2 linked regions of the Ovis aries genome follow. The protein of the gene in region 2 binds, or shares a complex with, the protein of the main gene of each other region. Links are inferred from orthologs where the notes say so. Each region holds a gene or a part of one and is shown on either strand. Other genes may lie near its edges.

Region 1 (10,622 bases), on a different chromosome or scaffold from region 2:
TTTTCCTACCTCATTCTCACCCATGCATCTGCAGTTACAATTATAGGTACTCCTTACTGGGTACCTGCTACATGTGGAGCCCTGCTCTAAATGCTCTCTATTTGAATTGACTCATTTGAAACATGGTCTCTGGCTTATTCATTACAAGGGTAGTGGTGGAGACTATGATGGGGAAGCCAAGGAAAAGAAGGGTCTTCTAAGAATTTGATCCATTTTTTTCTTATCTATTAATAAAACATAACTAGAATAAATTATGAAGATAAGCCTCAGTTAGCCTTGGCTTACAAATTTTAACATGCTGACTTATATACAGGTAATGTTCAACAGAATAGCCAAGTGGGCAGGGGGCTGCTTTTATTCCCTGTACTTCACTGCTCTCCCATTGTATTCAGCCAAGCTGTTCCTGCTTTCAGGTGACCTAATACTAATAGATTATTTTATACTCTTCAAGACATTTTACATATATACAAACAAATACCCAAATATATTCTTTCCTCTATTTTAACACAAATGGTGAACTAATACTATATATTTATATATAAAAAATACTATATATAAATACTTGTTGTATAGTTGCTAAGTTGTGTCTGACTCTTTTGTGACTCCATGGACTGTAGCCTGCCAGACTCCTCTGTCTATGGGATTTCCCAGGCAAGAAAACTGGAATGGTTGCCATTTCCTTCTCCAGGGGACCTTCTCAACCCAGAGATTGAACCTGTGATGCCTACATTGGCAGGTGGATTCTTTACCACTGAGCCACCAGGGAGGCCCGATATAAATACTACATATATTCACATATAGTTAGACATTTAGATTGTTTTCAGTCTTGGAGTTATGTTTAGAAATTATGGTGAAACACAAAGCAATTCTCTGTACATACCGTTCTCCATCATTTACAAGATATTGTACCTTTTAATTCCTCACATTCTTTGTCCAAATTGCAGTAAATATGTTACAAAAGAACCTCTTCCTTCTCTCTGTGGTTGTAGACAGGATTGTGTAAAAACAACTACAATGAAGGAATTAGTGGCTGAGCCAACTAAAGATGACGAACTATTGTTCTCTTCTTATTAAGTCTCTCTTGAATCTCTCCAAATCAACCTGCATGAACCTGGAGTTAGTGAAGCAGTCTCCTGAGAGTAGGAAGTACATAAGCCCTCATGTTCCTAAACTAAACACCAAATAATTGCTATCAAAATCTGAATAACTGCTTAGGAAGTGGCAACAACTTAGAAGTTAGGATTTCAATCAATATTATTACCACCCTTTTTTTGCTTCTTAATAAATCAAGGAGAGAATTTCAAAACTTTAATGATAACTTTAAAGCTCAGAACACAAATGTTTTAGAAACCTCTTTCTTTATCTCCCCTGTCCAAAGTATGTAAATTTATTTCATATTGATACTAGTATATGCAAATTTGTAGATCAGTCTTAAAATGCTATTACAAATTTTACTTCCGGCTTGTATGTAAACAATACAAAATAAAAAAAAAATTTATAATTAGTGACAATACAGAGATCATCAGATCAGTTGTTTTCAAAGACACATGTTGTTGGTGTATCAGTAGGAAAATCAATATTGGATTTTAGTCTATTACTATTGTCACTGCTACATGGGTTTATATATGCTACAATGTTTCCTGAAGTTTAGTTATATTTAACTACCTAAACTGATGGATAATCCTGAACAGAGCTAGCAAATGCTACTTATCAGTCTAAAAGAAAGCTGAGTTCTGTTAGTGGCATGAGGGTGCTTGTAAATTATAAAAATGTCTTGCATACAGGGTATTTGCTGCAGCACTGACTGCACAAGACTGGAAATAAGCTAACTGCCCAATGGTAGAAAAAAAGGTGAATAAATTATTGTACATCTATACAAAAAAATACTATTCATCTGTTTTTTTAAAAAAGAAAGAGGAAGCTCCTTATGTACTGATATGGAATATCCCTCAAAATGTTAAGTAAAAAATGCAAGGTACAGAACAGTATGTATGGTCTGTTACTATTTATGTCAAAAAAAAAAAGAGGAGAAATTATATACATACATAGGTCTGCTTATATGTGTACAGATTAGCTCCAGGAGGACATACCAAGAAGGCACATCTCCTGAGGGCATACAAGTATTTATATTACAGAGAACATTATCCTGGTTCTTACTTTACAGCAGTGTGAGAAGATCTGACAGATATACTCCTGGGTGTAGCGGGACCTGCTAAGCAGCGCCATGAGGTGCGGTATCACCGTGGCATCCTGGAGTGAAAGGGAAGAAGAGCAGAGCAACAGGGAACTCAGACTCGGTGAGTGTCTTTAACACTGATTTCCAAGGACAGGTACGCATGTAAGCATCTTTTTTTTTTTTTTTAATTTTAAAATCTTTAATTCTTACATGCGTTCCCAAACATGACCCCCCCTCCCACCTCCCTCCCCACAACATCTCTCTGGGTCATCCCCATGCACCAGCCCCAAGCATGCTGCACCCTACGTCAGACATGGACTGGCGATTCAATTCTTACATGATAGTATGCATGTTAGAATTCCCATTCTCCCAAATCATCCCACCCTCTCCCTCTCCCTCTGAGTCCAAAAGTCCATTATACACATCTGTGTCTTTTTTCCTGTCTTGCATACAGGGTCGTCATAAGCCTCTTATCTTAATGACAGTAAATCAAGTCTGTTTAAGGAACACAGCAACACAAAAGCAACATGTAATCAAAACTGTTTAGGCAAAGGACAAGGAAAGGGGCTTCAATTTTCATGCTTGATAATAATATAAAAGAACAGGAAATTCTCAATTTCTCTCCCATAAACATCCCCACAATAAAACAAGATCATTTCAATAAGACTTGACATAATCTATTCCAAAACCAAAATGTGACGTAATTAATGAGATAAATACTTACTACATAGCTTACAAGGAGGAATTACTGTATTAAAATAAAAGTTCACAATTTTGAAGTCTGAGATGTTTTGGTAAGTATCAGTAACAGATTAACATTTCTAATAACTGTAGTGAGCTAATTTCAGTCTTCACAAGACAAGACAGTTTATATAAAAGCAGCTTCTCACTTACAGCCCACTCTCTGCCTACTACTGACACTTCACAGCATACATGATGGTACAGAAGAAAGAAGAATCCACCCAATCTGCCTCAGGGCTCTCAAAAAATCTCCTCTTTCATGATTTAAACACTGAGAGGATATTTGGCCCAAACCACAGATGGAAAAGGAGACTTAGCTCGAGTGCCCTAGTCAGTGCTGTCGTAAGTCCTGCAGCAATGCTCTTCAGATACGAACGCGCATTGCATGTATGTTCTCAGGGGATACTCTGTATGTATAGACTGATTCTGTAGGTCTGAAGTACGACTTATGATTTGGCATTCTATCAAACTCCCAACTAATGGTTGATGTTGCTGGTCCACAGACCACACTTTGACAAAAGACAACAGAGGGCAAGGAAGGAAACTTAAAAGAATACCACTGTTGGGATAAACAAGGTTTGGGCAAGATACATAAAAGCTAAGTAGGAAAATAGTAGGCTATTTTTGTAGAAGATGCCTACAAATAGAATCTTTTCCCCTTGCTTGTTATAACCCTGTGTTGTCATAAGCAGTTTAAACACAAAATGAGGGAATTTCCTGGCAGTCCAGTGGTTATGACTCAGGGTGTTCACTACTGTGGGCCCAACGTTCAATCCCTGGCCAGGGAACTAAGATACTGCAAGCTGCTGTGTTACATATCTGCAGTTTCTGGTTGATTAAACAAGGCAAAGTACAGTTACATAATTTCCCCCAAAGTCATTCATCTTATAAACAATTTCAAACTACACATTCTGCCCTCTTCAACAGGATTCTGCGCTCCTTAGTTTAGTGCCTGAGTTGCTATGGCAGCTGGTCTCTATACAATCCTACCCACAGATGTCAGTTAGTTACACTGAAATACTACTCTCTGTCATTATCCCATCCAGCATTTTTTAGAGTCTCCACGGTCTCTGAGGCATAAAATTGTTTCATAATTTAGGTATCCTATGAAAGTCCCTTAAGTCCCTGTGTCTTAATTTTTCTTGCAAAAAGAAGCTAAGTTGGTATATAGCAGCATTCTCCAAATTACGAACCACAATCCATTAGCAGATCATGAAATCAATTTAGAGAGAGAGAAGGAAGGAGCTGAGTAAGTTGACCAGGGTCAATTCCTTCCCCAATACTGGGCTGAGGGTTGGGGAAAAACTTCTAGGGTAAAGAAGATGAGTGATTGGCTTAATTTCTTTGTAAAAATGACAATCGGAAATCCTTAAGTAAACAGACTGATACTCAGATGGAGAGTTCTATATAGAATGCTGTGAGAATGCTTCCTCAATTTAGAAATGCTTACAGTAAACCAGTGGTTCTCAGAGAGTGGACCAGTAGCATCTGGTTTACCAGATACTAAAGTTTACCAGTTACTGGCAAACTTGTTAGAAATGCATATTCTCAGGCCCCATCCCACACTGACTGAATTAGAAACTCTGGAGGTAGGGGTCCAGGATTCTGTGTTTAATACGCTCTCCAGGTAATTTCGGTCCCTGCTCAAGTTTGAGAACCATTGTGGTAAATGGTCTATGGATTTATGAGCCATGGTTCCCCAAAGAATGTTACACAAATCCTCAAGGTATAAAATCAAGATGCTTCATAATTTAGCTCCCTGCTGTGTGAGATGACCCACAAGCCTCATTTACAGACCTTAGGCATCATTACAGGCCAGAGGAGCAAGTGTCTAATATAGGAAAAACAAACTCTGGAGGCACATGACATGTCCCTCTCCCTGCCTGCTTTGCCTATGCCTCTTGACTACTTATATTTTTGAAGTATTTGTAAAACATGACCCTGGACAAGATCTCCAATACATATGTGTCCACTTTGAAACTATGATTCTGCATCTCAGCTCAGAGAATCACAACCAGCATTTTTTAAAATGAAAAAGGATAAAATAGAAGTCAGAAGGCACCACATTTATGCAATTGTTTTGTGAAGACTATCTCAAGATATTCCCACCACCACTCTGCGCCCCCACCTCCCACCCCCCACACACAGTGTGGCCGTAGAAAATATAATTCTACTGTGAATTGTGGATAAGAGAGTTTAAAAAATACTAGCCTTGATAAATTTATTAAGAAAGCCCCAGATAAGCAACAGATAAAAATACACTCTAATAATCCCTGAAGTTTCTGAAAACCAATGAATGACTCTGAAGATCTTTAGATTCTCTCACATGTATTCTCTGATCCTAGCCTGGTAAGTAAGCCTCTAACAAGTGCTTCTGGTTCACCTTTTCAGCTGAAATGAACAATGATTCCCTTCCTGCATTAAACTATTCTGTCCACTGTCCTGCATATTCTCTTTTTCAAAGATGTGCCCTAGAACAGCTTCTTTTCTCTACACTTCTTGAAATCTTATCCATTATTCAAGATCAGGTCAAATTCTACCTTCTCCATAAAGCCTCCTCTACCAGATTTAACCTATAGTGAGTGCATTAAATGTGTTTCCTTTTAAGAAATTAAGAAAGGTCTTTACAAAACAAAAAACAACAAAAAACCCCAGCTTATAAATTTCTCAAGGTCTGGGACTACCTTTCACTGCTTTACAAAGCCTAGAACATTTGATATTTGCAAATTAGCAATTCAAATATTTCTTGAGACTTTTCTATAACATAGTTATCACAGCTAAGATCAGTTATGAGATGCTAAGCTAAGTAAATCAGAAGTATGCTGTTAGTAAAAATGTAACTTGATGATTGAAAAACACCTAAAACTCACTGTATACAGTAGTTCCTCTGGAGTGACGGGACTGGTGAAGATGGTGCGCAGGCATCGGAGGCAAGCTTCAATGAACTTCAGGTCTGGGGACAGTAGTCCTGTTAAGAGAAAACAGATTTGAGACTCATGCTTCCAACTTATATTTAAAACGCTGCAAACTGATTCTACTTTTTACCTGTATAAAAATGACTTCCTTACATACCTTGCAGTAAGGCAGGGATAATATGGCAATCTAGTAGAGACTTAACATTGTTTTCAGTACCCATAGCAAGACTTCCCAATACCACTGCACATTCAGTTTTCAATTCTGTGCTTGAGGTTTCTTGCTGAAGCAAGTACAATAATCTAAAAAGAAAGAACTTGATAAACAGAAGAGACTAAAAAACTTAAAAGTAAACATTAGCTAAAAGTAATGTTACAGAAAAGGCTACCAATACATCCCACACACTGAAAATATGGTAGGTGAGTTTACAGGCTGCTAGGAAATGGTCATATCTTTATATAAGCTGTTAATTTAATAAAGGAATATCGGCAGCGGGGAGAACCAAAAGAGATTTTCTTCTTTGTGAACAACAGAATTATCATACAATCTTAGTGTCAGAACTTCAAAATCTGAGAGTTGTCCACAAGCGATGTCCTGTAGAAACAGCCAGCACGACAGTCCACATTATCTGACACTTCAAGATATGAAGATTCCCAAAGCCAAGTGCTGGTGGATCTTAAGGACCCTGAATATCCACTACCACAGTTCAGAGATCACAGACATCTAGCCTAGAGGGAATACTCAGAGTCCTTGTGCAGCTCTTCAAACAAGGGAAGTTCTCTTCTTTCTCTGATTCTCCTATTTGGGGCATCAAAAGATCCTATTCTATTCTAGGCTAGCCTGTCAAAAAACTACTCCCCAAATTCCAATTGTCTACAACATATGACTATCTCCTTTATGTTCTAAGGTACATCCTTCATGCTCCCTAAAGCATATTTATATATACTGAGCACTAGTCCCCTAAGAAAGGCTGCTGACAGCTTTACAGTTACCAATGGTTGATTATAATAAAAACAACAAAACCATTAAACAATCCTACATTAAAAGACACGAAAGAAAAAAGAAGAAAGAAAAGCAAGACATTTAAAAATTCTGAATGAAAAATTTGTAACTGCACATAAAACTTAATTCTGGGTAGCAAAGGCAAAGAAGCAGTTAAACAATTATCACTGTCTGCCAAAAAGAAGCTTAATAGCTTCATCAGAAGACATGAAACTTTCTATGTTAATTTAAAAGCCAGCAAATTCTAAAAAGCAGGGTCAAAAAATAAATTTTTTTTTTAGTTTCAAAAAAGGTTTTGAGAATCCTAAGAAATTATTATCCCATCATATAAAAGTTGCCAGAGCTCTGAGGAGACCGGGAAGAATCAGGATGGTGTACATTGCTTATTTACCCAACGTGTCCTTTTATGGCAGGGTCAATGATCTTCCCAAACCTGTAAAAAGTATTCATATATTCCACTCCTTGGTATCTTAATTTTTTAAAAGAGATGCTTCATATACTTCAAAGCATTTATTAAAAAAAAAAAAAAGTAGGACAGACAATACAGAAAAAAGAAGGGTCTTATGACTGAGAATGAGAACACATCTGAAACTTCATATGAATAGCAGAAAAGGGGATAGTAGCAAACTTACCTTGGAACAGCTCCTAAAACAATGAGGTTGGCTTTCTGCTTGTTGTTTCCAATTACAGCATTTTTCATGTCTCTGAATTCAAGGAAAAGAGAAAAGGGTAAGATGTGTTGAGATACTAATTTATCTTTATTTTACAGCATCTTGGATTGTCAAGTACGGATGTTAAGTGACAAAGTAAAACCCTGACACTTCTCTGCTTGGAGTGCTAAAGAGACGGGACAGAGACAGGGCTGTGCAACCAGGGGCTATGAAACAGGAGGGCAGCAGTGGAGGGGGAGTGAGAGACAGCCTGAGAATCAGCAAAAGACTTTCAATACAAAGAAAGCCGAGTTCTTCAAAAAAAAGACCACCGATCCTTTGAATAATAAGAAATACAGGCTATCTTCTCATGCATAGCTCTGGGAGTAGGCAGTAAAAGCAGCCAGCCCAAGGAATAGACCTGACCTTGTTTCAGGGACCATGACTTTACTTTCCTCTTTTTCTGACTTCCTTGGACCGAATATTCCTGTGATTCCATTTTATCTCCTTTATTGTCAAACTAGCTGTACTTCTTTGGGTTTTGTTTTGTTGTTTTGTAATGGTAGATTTACAGTTTACAATATGTACCTTTTAACTTATCACAGTCTTCAAGGTATAGTGTCCTACTTCATGTGAACTGTAAGAGCCTTGCAAACATACTTCCATCTTCCCATTCATTCTTTGACCTGCTGTTATACATCTTTAAACTAGTTAGAAACAACATGATATATTGCACTATTTTTTGGGGGGGGGGGCTGCATCATGAGGTTTGTGGGATTTTAGTTTCCCCACCAGGGATTGGACCCCTGCAGTGAAAGTACAGAGTCCTAACCCCTGGGCAGCCAGGGAATTTTCTATATTGTACAATTTTTGCTTAAACAGTCACTTTTAAGGAGATTAAAAAATACAAAAACATCTTTTATTTAAAATTTAAAGATATTTACTTATTTGGCTGCACCAGGTCTTAGTTGTGGCATGTGAGATCAAGTTCCCTGAACAGGTATTGAACCACAGCCCCCCTGCATTGGGAGTAGGGAGTCTTAGCCACTGGACCACCAGGGAAGTCCCAGAAAATATCTTTTATATTTCCCATTTATTCACCAGTATTTTTTACTCTTGCTACACTCAGATCTCCATTTCTCTGGGAGCGAAACTCTTTTCCACAATAAGAGTATCTCTATCAATGACCAGTTGGTTCACAAACACATGGTTGTTCTCAAAGGACAGGCAAAGAAAAAATAAATAGCTCAAAATAAGCCTAGTACTTGGAGAAGGAAATGGCAAGCCACTCCAGTATTCTTGCCTAGAGAATCCTGTGGATGGAGGAGCCTGGTGGGCTGCTGTCCATTGGGTCGCACAGAGTCGGACACGACTGAAGCGACTTAGCAGCAGCAGCAGCAAGCCCAGTACTAATAAAATGTTTAATAAAAAAAAAAAAGGTAATTGGTCAGTAGTGCTATCTTAATATAAAAACACTATGGTTCTCAAACCTTCTTCTTCTTGTGGAAGAAGGCATCAGAGCCTCCCAGGGACATTTCAGATGTTTATGAAGATGTCTGAAAATTTCTGGCCATAGTTTTAAAACAGAAAGCAGTTTTTGCACAATCTTCAAGAAAACTGTATTTTTCAGTATTGTACCTGCTTTGTAAATAAAAGGGAGATTATACTTTTTATTAAAAGTTACTTCATTTTGGAAAATCAAATAAGTGGCACTCATGGTAGATGGGGTCATCAATACCATACCAATATCAGCCCACAGTTTCAGCTCTTGCTTTCATACCTCATTAAGTTTTCTAACATGTTCATGCTTAAGCACTAACATATTGAAACATTATAAGTTATCTTTCTTTCATATGCCAAAATACATTCCCCTAGTTACTTGCTGAGCATCTCTCCTAACTTCTCTTAGGTGGCAGAGCTCTACAACATAGAAATTTTTTGTCAACCATTGAAATTATACTCCTAAAAAAGTCCTGTAATTGGCAAACTATGATCTTATAGAAAAACAGGATAGAAAACCAGGGGGAAAGGTTGGGGGGTGGAGGTGGAGAGGGAGTTATTAAAATCAATGACTTCATGTTATTGTCAGCTTGTGTTTCCAACACCAGCCAATTTCATCAGCATTAAAAACCCTGGTAACGATAATACCCCTCTCCTTAATTATCTTTTTTGATTATTATAGGAAAGTGCTGTTATGATGTGGTGGTCTGCTGAAAGCTGATCCTCCCCATAAGAATAGCATTTTCACCAGTCTTGAGCCAAACACTGTACTTATTAGGGTTCTTCCTTTAGCTCAGTGCTTGAGGGCCTTCTCTCTCTCTCTCTTTCTCTCTCTCTCTCTTTAGAATATCCCTCAGATCTTCCATATGATTTACAGCAGATAAGCAGGAGTATTTTGTTCATTTGTTTGCTCATGAGGACTAAATTGAATGAAGCTTACTATGGTTTTAACCAAGCTCTGATATATGATTTTAAAATTCATGTGATATCGAAGCTTCACTGAGCAAAACACAATTAATGAGAGACTGTACATCTAGGCTCCTGCCTCCTTATAGATGCCTGCTGTTTTCTTAGAGACTGACTTCCCAACTGTCGGCTTATAGACTCTAACCTAGCAGTCTGTCATTTTCCTTCTTCTTCTCTTCTCTTAATGTGTTCTGCCTATACTAACGCAGCATACTCATGCATCCGGGAGATTACTGAAAGTTTATTTTTGCCAGGTGCCATTCTAGAGGCTTTCTATTATGGAACTTCTAATTCTAACATTTTCCCAGATTTCTCCCCATTCTTCCTAAACTGAGCAGAAATGAATGACCCTAACCTTGTAAATACAACCCAAATATCTGAAACCATGCCAGAGTAAATGTTTTTACAGACAAAAGCAAACAAAACTCCTCCAAAACCAATTTTCCAATTTCCTTACTAGTTTGAAAAATGGACATGACGGAGGCAGCTGGTAGTTATAAAGTAACTGCAGACTAAAGAGAACACAATTAATAAAAGGTACCAATGGGGCTTCTCTGGTGGTCCAGTGGTTGAGACTCTGCCAGCCAATACAGCAGACACGGGTTCGATGCCTGGTCTGGGAAGATCCCACATGCCATGGGGCAACCAAGCCCATGTGCCACAACTACTGAGCC
Region 2 (10,188 bases):
CGCCCCTGCCTTTTGCGTCACTCACCGTGTGCGTGCGGCTTCCGGGTCAGAGGTCAAGACGGCCGCCGAGTCCCCGCAGCTCGGGTCATGGTGCAGCTCCGTCCGCGCGCCTCCCGCGCCCCGGCATCGGCCTCGGCGATGGTGGACGAGGGCCAACCCGCCTCCGAAGAGGAGGCGGGGCACGGGCTGCTGCTCGGGCAGCCCAGCAGCGGCGCGGCCGCCGAGCCGCTGGAGGAAGACGAGGAGGGGGACGACGAAATCGACGACGAGGCCCCGGAGGAGCTGACTTTCGCCAGCGCCCAGGCCGAAGCGAAGGAGGAGGAGCGGCGAGTTCGGGAAACGGTGCGCAGGTTCGGAGCCCCGGGGGCCGGGCCGGGGGCGGGAAGCGCCGCCTAACCGTCCCCCTTCTCTTTTCCGCCCACCCTGACTCGTCGCGGTCTCTTCCAGGGACAGAGCGCTTCTGAAGGAGAAGAGGAAACGGCGCGAGGAACTGTTCATTGAACAGAAGGTTAGAGGTTTGCAAAGAGGGGGGCGTTTCACGGGCCGGCTCGGGGCAGAGTTCAAAACTGCTGGGGTCCGGGGCGGAGGACAGCCGCCGGTGGTCTCTTCCGACAGCACTAACATCCGCGTGCTAGTGCTCCTCGCTGTCCACCAGTTCAGAATAGGGTCGGGAAGAGGTGAAGTAGAGCTAGACCCACCCACCTCTGACGCGCGGCGGAGGTGGTTTATGTGAACCTGGGTCGTTGTGAGGAGGCAGCGCTGCGTAAACGGAGGGCTGTGCAGAGGATGCTTGGTTCGCGCTGTGCTGTTCCGGAGATTGGCCGCAGGTGGACGTGACTATGAATTGCCCTCGGTGTATAACGTGACCCGAGGGTTAGAATAAACCGGGCACCCTTTCCAGCCTTCACGTCTTCCAAGTGAAGTGGGAGCAGGCTCTGAGTTGCTTGGGCCCCAGTCTTCCCATAGCTCACAGGTAGTGGAGGGCAGTGTTCGGATCATTTATTTGCCTAGAGGTAGGGCTATCCTTAAAATGGTAACTTCAAAAGCACTTCAGGGCGTGTTGTCCTGTTGCTTACTTTTTATGATTTTTTTTTTAACGTCTTTAAGAAAAGAAAACTTCTTCCAGATACTATTCTAGAGAAGTTAACTACAGCTTCACAAACTAGGTAAGTGGTGGATCTCGTTTTATTACTTGTTTACATACAGTGTTTCAATGCTGTCTTGGTACATTTGTCTGAACTCAAGTTTTAAAGTCTAAATTAAAAAGCTACCCAGGAGATAAGTGAATTTGGTGGGACAGGTGGAGGGAAATGTTCCACTTATTTTCCATCTGTGGCTGTTTCTTATTTTTGTTGTTTGCATGGGTAACTCTAGCTTCTGAGTTGCTGATTTCAGTGAGTTCCTACAGTATGTCAGTGTACTAGGGGCAGGATAGATGGTGTGAATAAAACAGTGTTTTGAAGTTCATCCTTTAGTGGGGTGTGGAGTACTAGTCTATTATCCATAGGCTCCTAGAACTCAGCTTGTCCCGTGCTTGCCTTACCTACTTCTCCCTCCTTGTTAAAGTGAAGTCACTCAGTCCTGTCCAACTCTTTGTGCCTCTGTGGACTGTTTCCATGGGGTTTTCCAGGCAAGAGTACTGGAGTGGGTTGCCATTTCCTTCTCCGGGGTATCTTCCCTACCCAGGGATCGACCCTGGGACTCCCGCATTGTAGGCAGATGCTTTACCATCTGAGCCACAGAATTTTCCCCTCCTTCTTCCCCTTTTCATTTAGTAGCTTTGCCATCCACCGTATGTTTAAAGTTCCCCTTTCTCCTCTGTGCTATGGCATCAGGTTCTATACTGTACTAAATTTAGATTAAATATTTGCTATTTTTTTTCCTGTTCCCCTTTGTCTCCTCTTTTTGCTTTCAGTTTAGCTTAGCCCTGCTAGAACAGTGGTTCTTTTTCCGTAGGAGAGCTTTTCCAAAGTTACTCAGTTTCTGAATACATCGTGGTGGCAAAGTCCCTTTCATCTTTGAAAACCAAGTTGTCACCTGTCCCTTCTTATTCCCTCTACCCCATCACTGCTCCCGCCGATTAGCTTTTCCACTTCTGTATAGACATCTCACTGTGTTCTGGCCTTTGACTCTCCATTAGACCACACTTGTTGAGACTACCATTGTTTGTCTCCATTCTTGTGTCTGAAGTGTTCAGTTAATCCTTTCAGCTCTCTCCACAGGCCTACCACCTTTCACTTCATGTTTCAATGTATTACATAATTCTTAAATACTTTTTACTCCATCAACCACAACAGTCTGCTTCTTTGGAAGCCTGCTAATGTACTTTCAGATTTTAAATTCTGATCCTACAAGCCTAGTATAGTTTGTTGATTGGGAGTTGTTGACAGTGCATTGGGGAGTGACTTTAAGGATGCTCAGTAAAAATTGAGAGTGGTGGTAGTAAAAGAGGGTTATCTTATTTGTAAAACCAGCTGAAATTTTGTGGTAACCTGAGTCATCGTTGCTGTCTGCTATCCCAATCAGTGTTTTGCTTGTTCTTCCTTAGTGTGAAGAAATCACCGGGAAAGTTGAAAGAAGGTATGAACTATTTACGTAACCTCTCATTAAGTGTCAAGGGCATTTGCTGGTATTTGCAAATGTTGTTGACCCTGAGAAGGAGCATGGGAACAGGCCTGGTGGGCTTTAGCTTGTTTCTTTTTTCAAAAAAATTATTTATTTGGCTCTGCCGGGTCTTAGTTGTGGCATGCACATCTGTTAGTCTTGGCCTGTGGGATCTAGTTCTCCCAGTAGGGCCTGAACCTAAGCCCCCTGCGCTGGGAGCACAGAGCCTTAAATTTTAGCTTATTTTGTACTGTCACATACTCATTGGTGTGTAGTGGTTATTTAAAGTAAACTCCAGCATACAGTCTTGATTTATTTGTGCACAAATGCTAATGAGAAATATTAACTCAATTTTTTAGTTAATTTGCAAAAGAAAAATGAAGAACGAGGAAAAGGAAGTGACTCTAAGAAAGCTAAAGTGCAGAAAGTACAGACTGTTGGGTAAGAAGTCGTCTTTGTGTGTAGGATGTAGAGGTGACCTTTGAGGGGGGTATACCTCAATTAGTAGCGGTTTCAGATTGGATCCTCTGTGGGAAATTTTGGGTATTTATATTTAAAAGTATTTGCTCTACTAAAATGTAAACGTTAGTTGTAAAATAGCCCTGTAATTTTATCATCTAACCTGTGCTTACACACAATTAGGATTTGGGGATTTTTCTCCACTATTTGAATCAACTAACAGAAATACTTTACTTTGAAAATAAGTATGGCCTCATTTTTACCTTTTGTATTGATCACCAGCCAGAATAAAAGCTACATGGCTGTAAGGCTAAAAGATCAAGATTTGAGAGATTCAAGGCAAGAAGCTGCCAAAGCCTTCATACAGAATTGTTTATATGGTCCTGGAACCAACAGAACTACTGGTAATTTCCTTACAGACTGTTTTTTCTTCCTTTTCTAACTGTGAATTAAACCAAAAAATGACAAATAATCCTCTTTCCTAGTAAACAAGTTCCTGTCTCTTGAAAACAAGAGGTTACCGATGAAAAAGGCTGCAGCCCAGTTTTTGAATAATACTTGGGGTAAGATTTGGCTTTATTCTCTTGAATCTGAGTTTTATATATTGAACAATGTTTCTTGTTAAGGAGCTGGTAGATACTCATGACGTATCTTTTTTTAAGTGGCTTCTGTTACTGTTTTAAAGTTGCTTAGAGAGCAGGTCAGTGTAGTTTATTTGTGCATGTGTGCTCAGCTGTGTCCACCTCTTGTGACCCCAGGGCCTGTAGCTCGCCAGGCTCTTCTGTCCATGGGATTCTCCAGGCAAGAACACTGGAGTGGGTTGCCATGCCCTCCACCAGGGGATCTTCCCAACCCAGGGATTGAACTCATGTCTCTGGCATTGCAGTGAGATTCTTCTACCATTGAGCCACCAGGAAAGCCCAGTATATGTGTACATATAGCAACTTTTAATTATGTAGAAAATTTGTGAATTGTTTCTTGGGAATTTTATTTATTCTTAACTGCACAAAACTTTTTATTCTAGGATCTCAGAGAAAACAAAATGCCAAGAGGTTTACCAAACGTTGGATGGTCAGAAAGATGAAAACTCCTAAGACATAAATCAAAGCTAGATGAAGAACGAGTACTTTGTATGTATAGAACTTAGTTATTTAAAGAATGTAATTTTTCTGGGGAAAAAAAAAAATAAATCACTTACAAATCCTTCTGAAGAGTCATTTTAAGAATCTCAAGTCTCTCAGGGGCAGTACCTAGTCACACTTCATCCACCTGGCGTATAACCGTGCCTCCTAGTCTTTGAGCATCCTGGAAGCAGCAGTTTAAAAGGACTTGTTTTCCTTTTTTTTTTCCTGTTTTTCCATTTTATTGACCACAAGCAGTACCCACACCAGGAGGGCACCTCTGCTACCGTCCGTCCAACCCCCACCCCCGGTATGGCAGTAAAAGTCTCTAACTGAAGCTCTCTGATGTGTTTGTCTCAGGTATTTTGGTGCCACTGATGAGACTCTCACAGAATATGTGGAAGAGTATCCAAGCGTAGATAATTGTTCTTTTAAAAGAAGGTTTAAGACTCAGTGTACAGCCAACAGACACCTTTGCCAAACCAAAGGATATGGTCATTCTGTTGAAGAGCTTGTTTATATTTTACTTTTAACCAGTTTGGGGGTTTGCTTTAAAACTGGCAAGTCACACACCATATGATGATCATGAAAATAAGATCGACTCCCTGCTTTCTGCATCATCTATAGCATCAGGTTTGGCCCTGATCCAGGGAGGCCAGTAAATGCAAGGCAGTCTTGGGTTGCAGAGCTCAGATTTATAGTAGCAACCACTCATTCTAACTTGTTCTAACTTTACTTGTTCTAACTTTATATTAATCATAAGTATGCAGGTACCTAATGTATAAATTCAACTGACACTCTGGTATCTGTAGAAGTAAATTTTTAATGGCTGGTTAATTATATCACTACATTTTTATTGCAATATAGTACTCATTTTAAGCACTTAAAAATGGAAGGTGTACAAAGATTAAATTAAGACACAGTAAATTGACTAAATATTTGGTTTTTATATAAATAAAGGTCATAACCACACTGTTGACATGTAATACTGTTATAATACAACAGTTCAACTTGTGAGTCTACAACAGAAGTCATCTGTAGTTAAACAGGAAACAAAGTTGAGAAAGACCATGTTAAAACAAAACTACTGGGACTAACAGGTCGGGATTGTAAGTAGCAACAAACATATTCACTCAGCTCCTGAGTATTTCAAGTTTTACAGTACACATTAAAAATGATTTCTTCCATCAACACTATAAATTCAAACTGTCAGATGTTTATGCATTTTGCAAGTTACACTGATTGAATGCTTATATGGGAGCGGGGGTCAGAATACCTCCCAATTTGAAGTTTACATCACCCACATGCTAACACAAACACAACTTGTTCCGTTTCCTTCCCCCCTCTCTCCCCCCAACAACGAAGGCAGGACTTTTTGGTTTCTTTTAGGTAATTGTTTTAGAGGATTTGTGATGATCAATTTGAATGTCTGGAATTCAGTAATATTCAACTCTTAGACAACTAAGAGGCTAAAGATGGAAAATAATTGCTCCTAACACTAAGTTAGAAAATCATTTGCATCATGCTGTAAACTAGGAAGCAATGTAAAGCGACAAAAACCTGTCCCCAGTACATAATTAAAAAAATCTAAGTTTCAGATCAGCAGAGCTGGTCTACTTCCATGTCGTCTATATGCCGCAATGTAAGTGTGAGCTCCGAAAATGCATAGCTAATGTAGGTAGTCGTCCACTGTGGCAAAAGCACAGGATCCGATTCCTGATCGAGCCATCAGTCCCAGACACTGGGTGGCCTGTCCCATGGCTAGGGCGAGTGGAGGTTGCTTTGGCAGATTGTGGGTTTCTGTGGAAAAATGATTAAAAGTGGAAACGCCAATTAGCAAGACATTTTAAACAGCATCTCTCAATCAGGAAAACACTGCATTGCTTACAAAATTACCAATGCCTGTACTGCACTTAACAAGCTAAGTAGCAAAGGTGGTTTTTAAGCAAACAATACCTTGGACATTACTTTGACAAGGTACTATATGGTCACTGGGTTTTCAAGTAGTAGTAAATTCTTGCAGAACTAAGACTGTTAGATATTCAAAAAATTTACTTCCATATTTACTATGATGGGAATGATGTAATTTCTTAACTAATGTTTATCTAATGTTGACATTACCAGAAAAAAAGGCACCAGGCGTTCAGTAAAGTTTTACTGATGGATTCTTCATCTTTCTGGGGATACGGCCCAACAGAGGCCACCTACTCCTCTCCAGGGCACAGTGGTGAATGCTATTTGGGTTGGTAAGCACATTGTTACACTTTTACTTTGGCCAAGGGAGGCACATCAATTATAACTGTCCTTTAGACTTTTTTGGAATACAAAACTTGCAGGCCTCACATACAGTAATGTAACTTGAAGCCCCATTGAGACGTGAAGCTCTACAACACAGCACAGTATACAAATACGCACCCCCCCCCCCCAGCAGTGTAAGTCTGGTCATTCCTTTTGCAGGAACTACATATAGTTAATGAATTTAAGCACTATTTGTAGTTGAACTACATAATTTAGGGCACAATATGTAAGACTATATATATATCTCCTGGATAGTGGTCCTAAGCAATTGACTACTTGAAATTTTAATTCCCCTGGAGAACATAAGATTCTTAACTGTCACATGAAAACTGGTCACTTTTCTTCAAAAATTCTGAATCTGAGCGTTACCCAGATAGAAAGCAATTAGGACTTCATGATTACCTATAATGTAGTCATTTCAAAAAGACAGTTACAGTAAACTATAATTTGCCCTACAATTCTAGCACTGCTACTGAGTATACTTATTTTTTATCAGTAGAACTAAATTAATTTTGAATAACCAAAGCAACATATTAACCAAAGTTCACATCATTATATACAAATCCTAAATGTGAGAAAATTATAACAATACCAATTCCTATGCCCAAACTTCACTATTAAGCCACAACACAATTAATTAATAATGAACTTTATCAGAGAAAAGAAGTAAGGCCCCAATGTCAGAACTCTAAATTGCTCCCCTGGCTTTGGCTCCAGTCTCCTGCCTGCACACTGACACTGTGCACGGCCCTCATCTAAGAGTGTCTCACATGTTCCTCAAAGCTCCCAAGCCTAATGGCCAAACAGCACACAACAGACTTTAAACTGGTAGCTCCCATTTTTCTTGAGGAATTACATTCTAAAATGGAAGGTGAAAAGTCACTCATCCAAATTCCCTTTGAAAAAAAATGCCCAGGTATTAAAATGTCATTTTATGTAAATAATCAACCCTATGTAGTTTATACTGGAGAAGGCAATGACACCCCACTCCAGTACTCTTGCCTGGAAAATCCTATGGACGGAGGAGCCTGGTGGGCTGCAGTCCATGGGGTCACTTAAGAGTTGGATACAACTGAGCGACTTCACTTTCACTTTTCATTTTCATGCATTGGAGAAGGAAATGGCAACCCACTCCAGTGTTCCTGCCTGGAGAATCCCAGGGACGGGGGAGCCTGGTGGGCTGCCGTCTATGGGGTCGCACAGAGTCGGACACGACTGAAGCGACTCAGCAGCAGCAGCAGCATGTAGTTCATATATAAATGCATAAAACGTGCAGTTACTGAATTCATTTAAAGAGCATCTGTTCAGTTTATAAGCACCGCACTCTGCTCCCAAGGAATGGCTACCAGTTGGGACAGCAAGTCCCGTTTCCCACTTTGGGCTCCCCCTGGCTAAGCCTACATACTGCTGCCACCCCCCACACACCCTTTTTCACTTGCTAAGGGCATGTAGTTAAATCTTTAATGCAAACAGCCTGCGTCTCCAAGAGCTGGGGCTGACAGCACTGAAGAGCCCCCTGGAGGCCCCGAGTGATTCAGGCCAGGAATGCTGTGTCTACATTCACACAGACACTTGTTTTCCAGACTTGTTTTCTTGTATCACAAGATATACCCCAATGTACTGTTTTTATTCCATTGGAATCCATTTAATCGGGGACTGAGATAATAGGAATTTTTCTATACTGTGAGGTAATTTTTTTTTTTAATGTAGGAAACATTTTCCTCAAGATTTTACCAAAGGATAAATGCCAGCACAAATACTGTCTCAAATACTCAAGAGACTAGTTGAAGCTGTGCTTTCTGGCTTCACTTACCTAATATTGCACTGTTAAGAGCTGAGCACACAGGTTCTCTCTGAATTGGGTCAAGCTGATTTCCAACTGGGCTGTTCCAAGGATCTGAATAGGCTAGTAAACTGAATGCATCCTGTTGAAAACAGCAATTTGATTAAGTCAGATAGTTCAGTGTCTGCTCACTATGGCTTCAACTTGAGAGACAGGTAAAATACAACCTTAAGGCACTGAATTAACACTTCAACTCATTTACCCCTGTGATCTGAGACTGTTTTTTAACAACTAGATTATGCAGCAAAGTCTAATCTGTTTTCCTATTTTTTACAAACAGCCATTTTCACCATCCACCACTTATACCTACAAAACATACAGAACAGAAATAAAATGGAAAAAACTCATTCTTGTGGAATGGGCTACTACTGTTTAAGTTAAAGACAAAACATTCAGATGCTCTATAATTAATGACCACTGACAGCAATGTGACATTAAACGGATATGACCTGCCATATATTTTTTTAAAAAAATAGATGGGGGAAACTGGACACATCTTACTGGACGTCTTCTCAAACTCAGCGATCAAAACAACTAGCTCCCCTTCAAGAACACTCAGGCGTCCCAACCACCTTCAGACTGCCCCTCCTGAAGCAACTGACATCCAGCATTCTTTTCAGGTGATGGCTCTTGTCTTTCTGTGGGAGGATAGAACTACGGATGGAACTACGACGGTTTCAGACGTTGGCCTCAAGTGGAGCTGCATCACCAGTGTAGCCTTTGGCAAGAACAACCTTCCTAAGTATCAGTTTCATCATCTGTATAATGGGGATTGGGCTTCCCAGGTGGCTCAGTGGTAAAGAATCTGCTTGCCAGCGCAGGAGCCACAGAAGCTGCAGGTTCAATCCCTGGGTCAGGAAGATCCCCTAGAGGAGGAAATGGCAACGTGTATACTTGCTGGGATAATTCCAAGGACAGAGGAGCCTGGAGGGATACAGTCCATGGAGTTGCAAAGAGTCAGACACGACTGAGCGCAACCCCTCTTCCCCCAACATCACAGGGATTATAAGAGGTCCTATTTCAGTTTATGAGGACTCAATGAGCTAAAGAAATTAGCCATGTCAGTTCACGCTAATCTTTCAATGAATGATAAATTACTGTTTTGCCAGAAATCAACACCCCAATCCAGAATAATATGATGATGCAGATATAGACAGTTAGACATAGGACACCTTCCTAGTTCACATGGGGTACGTGGAGAAGTGCTGAGGGAACGAAATCAGTGAATTCAGTAACAACACTCAGAATGCCAGTCACTGAAATGTGGAAGACACATTCCTGAAGAATACTATCTTCCCAGGTAAACTGCTCCAGCATCCCTTGAGTCATCTTGCTAGTGGGAAAAGGCTTCCTGGTCAAGTTTGACCTTGCCCTTTCTCATCTGAATTGGCCTCTGTGTTGTGGCGACTAGAGAAGAGCTGCCCATTAAGCAGAGCTGTGCAGTCTGGGGTTGACAACAGGAATACATTAGGCTCCCCCATCCACTGTCCTACACGGCTTAGCATTTCATTCACATTAGACCTCTTGCCCCACCTATTAATGAAAGTTCTTTGAACAACTTATACTATTGTTCCCCTGCAGTCCTCAAGATGCTGGATACAAAGGGGTGAAAAAAAAAGGCTCATACACCTGTTGATTGCAAGACCTGCTTAACAGTACTGAAGATATCTTTTGCATCCCACAAAGCTAGTAGATTCTGGTTCTCTCCCAATCCAAATTTATTCATGGAGAAAGTACTAATATCCTGTTAAGCTAACTGATCAATCACTATTTCTAAGGACTGAGCTTTGCTCAAGACTTAATTCACCCACGTCCATCTCCTGACGTGCCACCCCTGTAGCGCACTTCAGCTCCGTTCAGTTG

What was found. Proteins that work in one complex are often made in the same cells at the same time.
Region 1: the proteins of RANBP9 (region 2) and ARMC8 are in contact, whole or in part, in a cryo-EM structure (PDB 7NSC), measured with the Homo sapiens proteins. The link is inferred for Ovis aries from reciprocal best matches to the Homo sapiens genes RANBP9 and ARMC8. Residues at the interface, in NP_005484.2 of Homo sapiens: Tyr271, Gly298, His299, Ser300, Leu301, Gly302, Ile303, Asp337, Asp340, Tyr341, Arg343, Glu344, Thr347; in NP_001350870.1 of Homo sapiens: Gln245, Arg246, Asp247, Val277, Leu278, Lys279, Ile317, Ile320, Thr321, Asp322, His323.

What each region holds. Positions count from the first base shown.
Region 1 is NC_056054.1:251,531,194-251,541,815, forward strand, and holds part of ARMC8 (armadillo repeat-containing protein 8), read right to left. Parts: intron 7,537-10,622; coding exon 7,465-7,536; intron 6,133-7,464; coding exon 5,990-6,132; intron 5,886-5,989; coding exon 5,788-5,885; intron 2,251-5,787; coding exon 2,158-2,250; intron 1-2,157. UniProt on the Homo sapiens protein: Component of the CTLH E3 ubiquitin-protein ligase complex that selectively accepts ubiquitin from UBE2H and mediates ubiquitination and subsequent proteasomal degradation of the transcription factor HBP1.
Region 2 is NC_056073.1:42,216,571-42,226,758, reverse strand, and holds the end of RANBP9 (ran-binding protein 9), read right to left. Parts: intron 8,408-10,188; coding exon 8,296-8,407; intron 5,985-8,295; coding exon 5,854-5,984; 3' UTR 4,990-5,853; downstream 1-4,989. Other genes in the region: NOL7 (nucleolar protein 7), read left to right, coding at 88-350, 448-508, 1,108-1,166, 2,549-2,580, 2,964-3,045, 3,346-3,467, 3,549-3,626, 4,088-4,164. UniProt on the Homo sapiens protein: May act as scaffolding protein, and as adapter protein to couple membrane receptors to intracellular signaling pathways. Acts as a mediator of cell spreading and actin cytoskeleton rearrangement.